Linked DNA regions of Nothobranchius furzeri. The protein of the gene in region 2 purifies or fractionates together with the protein of the main gene of each other region. This does not show direct contact. Links are inferred from orthologs where the notes say so. Each region holds a gene or a part of one and is shown on either strand. Other genes may lie near its edges.

What was found. Proteins that work in one complex are often made in the same cells at the same time.
Region 1: the proteins of rc3h1b (region 2) and cnot1 purify together in Homo sapiens (affinity purification with mass spectrometry; 5 studies listed by BioGRID, with this or other methods). This does not show direct contact. The link is inferred for Nothobranchius furzeri from reciprocal best matches to the Homo sapiens genes RC3H1 and CNOT1.

Annotation. Positions count from the first base shown.
Region 1 is NC_091744.1:81,584,559-81,588,210, forward strand, and holds part of cnot1 (CCR4-NOT transcription complex subunit 1), read left to right. Parts: intron 1-295; coding exon 296-446; intron 447-543; coding exon 544-754; intron 755-988; coding exon 989-1,129; intron 1,130-1,649; coding exon 1,650-1,774; intron 1,775-1,850; coding exon 1,851-2,137; intron 2,138-2,214; coding exon 2,215-2,292; coding exon of another isoform or gene 2,293-2,293; intron 2,294-2,394; coding exon 2,395-2,647; intron 2,648-2,740; coding exon 2,741-2,881; intron 2,882-2,953; coding exon 2,954-3,133; intron 3,134-3,297; coding exon 3,298-3,414; intron 3,415-3,510; coding exon 3,511-3,621; intron 3,622-3,652.
Region 2 is NC_091751.1:54,522,514-54,526,241, forward strand, and holds the start of rc3h1b (roquin-1), read left to right. Parts: upstream 1-837; 5' UTR 838-995; intron 996-2,088; 5' UTR 2,089-2,270; coding exon 2,271-2,501; intron 2,502-3,728. UniProt on the Homo sapiens protein: Post-transcriptional repressor of mRNAs containing a conserved stem loop motif, called constitutive decay element (CDE), which is often located in the 3'-UTR, as in HMGXB3, ICOS, IER3, NFKBID, NFKBIZ, PPP1R10, TNF, TNFRSF4 and in many more mRNAs.

The sequences.
Region 1 (3,652 bases), on a different chromosome or scaffold from region 2:
AAGGTGGAAACGTTCAGACAGATTAGTTTATTAGGGGATTAAACTCTAATGAAGGAGTTCTGATCCTGTTGATGTGAAGAAACGTGCTTCCAGCTGCTTCTATTCACCACAGACAACTACTGGTCATACATCATAGCTCTGTCTGTGAGGATTTTAATACGGTGATTGATTACGTAATTCTCTTATTTGAAAACCCTTTTTTTTAAATCCACTATTTGAAATGTTTTCTAATGGGAACTCTTGCACAATAACCGTTTATGTCTACCTTTATAAAAATATTGTTCTCTGTGTGTAGGAGTGTTTCCCAGGAGTTGTCCGAGGCGATCCTTACCATGGCTGCCAACTGTAACAACGCCATGAACAAAGCTCGGCAGCCGCCACCGGGGGTTATGCCCAAAGGACGCGCCCCCAGCACCAGCAGCTTGGATGCCATCTCACCTGTGCAGGTGAACCAAATGATTCCTTGACATAGCTAATCTGTATTTTGAATCTGGAACATCTCTCTTGCTCTTGTTTAACCATTTTCTTCATGCTGTTCCTCAGATGGACCACCTGACTGCGATTGGTTCCTTGAGCCTGGCAGGAACAGCTACGTCCCACTCTCAGAGCATGCAGAGCTTCCAGCCTTCCATAAGTTCAACTCTCAATAACCCTCTGTCCCCTGCTAAAGCCTTCCCACCGCTCCCTAACCCTAATCCCAGCACGCAGTTTGGCGGAATCAGTTCCAGCTTGCAGCTCACAGGAATGGACTCTGGTACTATGATTTATTCCTTCCTTTTACACAAACGCGTCCATGCTAACCCTAGAAGTCTCAACTCCACTGACGCTGTTTAAGTAAACATGAGAAGAATTATTTGACATAACTTATAAGCTGACATAAATGTTAGATTGTTGGATGCATACAGTAACGAGGAACATTCACATCTGAGCAGGGTCACAGGTCATAGGCTGAGCTGGGGTAAACTGAAACCTTTTGTCTTCATTGCAGGTTCTTTGGGCTCAGGTATTAGTTCTAGCAGTGGCTTTAGTCTGGGAATGCCCACAGTGAGCACGGATCCATTCGGCACCAGGAAGATCGGCACATCGGCCTTGAACCCACAAACCTTTCAGCAGAGTAAGATGAAGGCCTGTAAGTGGTGGTGGTGGAGGTGTGACTGAGAGCCCCGCCCTGCGCCGCTCTGCACTGTATTTCCTCTACAATATTACTGAAGATTCCTACATTTAACTATTCGTGATTCACCATAAAAATTCAAAATCAACATACTTTAATTCAGTATCTGTGACAAAATTTTGTCCATTTCTATCAAACACTTGAAGAGGAAATACAGACCAGTCTGCTTATGCTGACGACCCCACTTCAGTGTGTTTATTCTGGTTTTCTGGCATCAAAAAGGTTTACAGGAGTTTCTGTTTAGACTGAAAATTCAACAGTTTAAGTGGCAGTTTCTTCCTTTTTATTAAAAATTAAACCATTTCAATTTTGTCAGTCTGATATTTCTAAAGGGTCTTTAATAAACTACATTAAATTAAAAATAGCATTTTCATGAAAATTATACAAAACCAAATCAGCTTGAGTGATGTCCATTATGAATGTTTATGTTCATCCGTTGTTGTGAGCACATCCTAAAACTGTGCCTTCTCTCCTCCAGCGGATCTCTCTCAGGTGTGGCCTGAGGCAAACCAGCACTTTAGCAAGGAGATAGACGACGAAGCAAACAGTTACTTCCAGCGGATCTACAACCACCCACCTCACCCAACTATGTCTGTAGATGAAGTAAGTTTGCTGCTGAGTTTAAGCCCGGTCTCAGGTGGACAAGATCTAAAATCCTCACGACTTCCCTGATGTTCAGGTGCTGGAGATGCTTCAGAGGTTCAAAGACTCAACCATCAAACGGGAGCGAGAAGTGTTCAACTGTATGCTTCGTAACTTGTTTGAGGAGTACAGGTTCTTCCCCCAGTACCCTGACAAGGAGCTGCACATCACCGCCTGCCTCTTTGGGGGCATCATTGAGAAGGGTCTGGTCACCTACATGGCTCTGGGCCTGGCTCTGCGATATGTTCTGGAAGCCTTACGGAAACCATATGGGTCAAAAATGTATTACTTTGGGATTGCTGCCCTTGATAGGTTCAAAAACAGGTAGTGAGAGCTTTCTTTAGTTAAATTAGCATTAATATGATTTATCCGGTCTTAAGCTGATGTGTTTGTTTTTCTAGACTTAAGGACTATCCTCAATATTGTCAACACCTGGCTTCAATAGCTCACTTCCTGCAATTCCCTCACCATTTACAGGAGGTAATCGAGTTTGCTTAATCCTTCGTCTGTTTAAAACATTATTTGGTGTGATTTTACAGAATGTGCCCCATTTATAAAGTTTTGTTTTTTTGGAATGTTTTGTGCGTGCAGTATATCGAGTATGGCCAACAGTCACGGGACCCTCCGGTGAAGATGCAGGGTTCCATCACCACACCAGGAAGCCTGGCGCTGGCGCAAGTTCAGGCCCAGGTCCAACAACCTACTGGCCTCAAACCGCCTCAGCTTGGACAGCCCAGCACCCTCGTCGTCACCACCACCACCACCACAACCACGGCAGCCAAGACGACAACTATCACAAGACCCACTCCCAGCAGCTTCAAGAAGGACATGCCTGTAGGCTTGACTTTGTGTTGGACTGAAACCTCCACATGAGTTTTATTTCTGCTCGTTAACGGTTTGTCTGCTGCTCATTTCCCACACTTGTAGCCCTCCATAAACACTACCAACATCGACACCCTGCTGGTGGCCACTGACCAAACAGAAAGGATTGTAGAACCTCCAGAGAACGTCCAGGAGAAGATTGCGTTCATCTTTAACAACCTGTCTCAGTCCAACATGACACAGAAGGTAAGGGAAAACATTATTGTATTAGACGAGTTTAAACACCAAAACCCTAAATAACCATTGATGTTTTCAAAGGTCGAGGAGCTGAAGGAGACTGTGAAAGAAGAGTTCATGCCATGGGTGTCTCAGTACCTGGTGATGAAGCGCGTCAGCATTGAGCCCAACTTCCACAGCCTCTACTCCAACTTTCTGGACACTTTGAAGAACCCAGAGTTTGTCAAGATGGTTCTCAATGAAACTTACAGAAACATTAAGGTAATGAACGAGAAACAAACTTTTAAGGCATCCTTTTATCTCATTTTGGTTTGTACTTTGTTTTTTTTTACTGTTTTAACAGACAGTTCTGTGAAAATGATGATGGTATGTATGTATAGGGCATCCAGGTATGAGCAGACATTTATAACGTGTGTCCCTGACAGGTGCTTCTGACGTCAGACAAGGCAGCTGCTAACTTCTCTGATCGCTCGTTGCTGAAGAACCTGGGTCACTGGTTGGGCATGATCACGCTGGCCAAAAACAAGCCGATCCTTTATACAGTAAGAATAGGCTTTAAGCTTGTTGGTCATCATGTAAAATGGTGTGTGTGTGTTTTTTGGGGGGGTCTATAATTATACTAAACACGTACTTCTCAGGATCTGGAGCTCAAATCCCTGCTCCTGGAGGCCTACGTGAAAGGCCAGCAGGAGCTGCTGTATGTTGTTCCGTTTGTGGCCAAAGTCTTGGAGTCCAGTCTACGTAGCATGGTGAGAAACCGACACCGGGTCCTGCTTGTAG
Region 2 (3,728 bases):
TTTTCATTCTCTGCGTCGTTTCATGTTTCTTTTGACTCACATTTGAGTGTTTTTGCTGTCGTTTTCACCAGACTTAAGAGATCGTTTGGTTTTGGCTGTGCATGCGGCTTATCGCCGATAGGGGGCGTTCAACGAACGCAGGTAAACGTGTGCTCGCCATGGTGCTCGCACACGCGCAGCCCTGAACGGTGTCGTGCTGAAAAAGAAAACCCTCGTCGCAGGACAAAATTTTCAAGGCACATGTTTTCTTCCTTACAGCAAATCATGGATGTAATTTTGGGGGAGGACAGGGGGGACATGTCCCCCCCACTTTTTCCAAAGCCAAGTTTTGACCCCTGCACTTTTTACCATCCAAAAGCAATATTACATTATATTAAATTGACACTGGTTGAGCTCTAGGACCAAGTAGAAACGTTTGTGTTGAAGCCTGTTTCCCATTAGAACATACTGTAAAGATCCCCCCCCCCCCCCGTGTCCCCCCCACATCTAAAGTGAAAATTACGTCCATGCAGCAAATTAAAAAGAAAAAAACGTAAAAAAAACATATTTCACACGTACACAAGTTGCAAACCTTATAAATATAGTAAATATTTAACGCAGTGATGATACCAAACAGAGTGGATAGTGGGTCCAACGCTGGCAGCCTATCCCTACTGAATGGTGATATTCGCTTTTCCTTTGTTTCTGAGGGTCCATTCTTATAAATAACAACGATTGCATAATAAGTTAAATGAAAATTTCAGTCCTGTTCATTTGCTTTCATTTTTATCTATTTTATGTGCGAATAAAGCCATCTAGAAATTCGCTTCGCGTAACTGGTTCCTTTTTACGGAAGGGTTGCATTTTTTGTCACAACACCAACCTTCAAGCTAGTCTGTCTTCGAATTGACAACCCCCTCCCCTAAGAGCAGCGAAGCTGCGCAGTCGACATGGCAGGAAAATATCGCAACAGTTTTGTAAAGAAAGATGAGATACTTCCAATTCATTTGGAATAAGTGAGTATTATCGACAAAATGTCGTCGGTATCATATCGGAAACTGATAGAAGCGCTGCATGATTAGTTAAAGTCACACGGACGCATAGCGATGGTTATTTGCTGTTAACATGGAGGAGCAACATTTGTTCATTAGCCAGCTAGCTGTCTCACTAGAAAAGCGTTCGAGTCAGCCGCTTTGGCCAAGACTATTTCTGTAGTTACCAAGTGTCGCCATTTAGTTAGTGGATCTTGTTAATATACATTTTTGGTAATATATCTACTTGTTAGTTTGAGATACTAGCGTTACATAATTATACAAGTCGAATGTTTTATTCGGTCTCTACTAGGTATCATTTCCTTGTATATTTATACACGAGTGGCAGCTGATGTTTTTGATATTGTAATAGCTGCACATGTGTGATTAGCGTTAGAAAAACTACTACATAATAGCGAAGAAACATCTGGTTCGAGATTGTTGTGAAGCGAATGTTTTTCATCCAACTACGTTTTGTTAGCTACGATTGTCAGCTAGCCACCCATAGCTTAGATTGCTAAAGTGAGCTAACGCATCGCCTAATATTACTATTTATATTGTCTTAAGTGGATCATTGTAGCACTTTATGCAAAGTTAACAATATATTCTGTTTATATTCAACTAAGTTTTCTCGAAGTAGAGTGTATCTTAACTATGTTAGCTTCATTGCGTTTGATAGCAGTGACTTGTAAGTTAGCTTCTTTCTGTACCCTTTGTCCAGAGAGGCTACAAGCTTCTTTAAGTAGGCCACACAGCTGTTGTTGTCGTTTGTTCAGTAGGCCTTGTTTTTAAATCATATTGTGTTTATTTACTGATATTTTAGTTGTTATTGCGAGTGTAAAATGGAAATTGCAGAAAAGAAGTCGACACAAAAGCATTAGCTGTCGACTTTGCCACCCTCTAGGTTAGAGCATTTTTGCTAGATGCATATATAGCCATCATGGTAATATTTTGATGGTTCATGTCGGCACATACAAAGATTACTAACGATTGTAAAGAAGCATTTGGCTCTTATTCAAAACAAGTTATTTCAAGAAATGTTTTTACAACTTTGATTCATTTTTTTCTTCTTTTACAGTATTCATCACGAGATGTGATCCAACATCCACAATGTGTGAGGACATTTAAGAACAATTAAGTTCGGAAAACAATCTCGATTCCAGTGGAATCTTCCATACATCTATATCTATATATAATTATTATATTTTTCTTTGTGTTAACTCCTAAATATACACGCACCCAACCCACCAACATATAATCATGCCAGTGCAAGCGCCACAATGGACAGAGTTTCTGCTGTGCCCAATCTGCACGCAGACGTTTGAGGAGACTGTTCGCCGGCCCATCAGTTTGGGCTGTGGACATACTGTCTGCAAGATGTGCCTGAACAAGTTGCACCGTAAGGCCTGTCCTTTTGACCAGACGGCCATCAGCACTGACATTGAGCAGTTACCTGTCAACACAGCCCTGTTGCAGCTGGTGGGAGGCCAGGTAAGACCAGAGTTCGTGTGTATTTGACATTTAATTACCATACAAGTGTAGTGATAGAAGCTTAGATAACCTGTGCACAGATCAGGTTATTTCCTTGTTATGTTTTGTTGTTTCCTTTTTGAGGTGCTTGTCATTTGTAGTCTGGTGCATGAGCTTTTTATATGGCTTTATGAGTTGCACGAGAGTTATTAAGCGGCTGCTTGAAATTAGTTTTACCGAGTGCTTCCTTCATAAGTAACTGTATTTCTTTTAGGTAATATTTGACCTGCAGGGCGAGTCCCAGTTGATGTTATTACCACAGTTTCCAGGTTTAGACTTAGTAGTAATGGAAAAGATCAGTGCATTGGCAATGAAGCTGAACCGTTCAATCGTTAGTAACGTAATGTTTTAACATGTTTTTACCTCCTTGATGAAAATAATATGCCAGGGGAGAAATCTTAAAATAATACCACTTTTTTTTAACTTTTTGTTTATGTCAAAATGTATGCTTTAAATTTAAGTCATTTTTATTATTTTAATTATTAGGTAGTTGTATTATCATCACTGTTCAGGAACACTGCAAGTTATAACTAAACCAATATCCAGGAAGTACCAGCAGTTGAGCAGATGCTGCTGCAGAAGTAAATGTTGGAAGATTTGGGAGACAGAAGACTCTGCGTGGTGGTTGTACTTTTAGTCCGAAAGTTTAGACATGGCTTCCTCAAAAGTGCTGGTCCTGTGGAGATAGGATTAACAGCACACCTTGTGTGCTTTGTCAGATTTCTCAATCCTGCGAGCATTCATTTCACCCAGAGGGAAACTCACAGCATGTGATCCTTTTGCACCAAGGGCAACAGAGCATCCTTCTGCACCCTGTGCCTGAAGGCCTTTAGTTAATAGTTATTTAGTGCATCATCAGCACTGATATAAGGAATGCATTCATGAGTCTAAGTCGGAGATGATGCCCACCAGCTTGTATGGTTGCTAATTAATAATCCACACTCTGCCAACATGGTGGACTGTGTTTAATAATAAACACCTCTCTGCATGAGGCATTCCCTCTTTTTTCTAATCCTGTGGAATATTGTTAATTTAAAAAAGCAAATCCTCTATTGTTTTAACAGCTATATGTGTGTATATAAGAAGTAAACAAGTGTTAAAGTATACTACATTTAGACCAATGGAAAACCATTTTTGTTTTTGAACAAAAAATTGTAATTTAGCATAAAATTGTGTTTGCATAACACT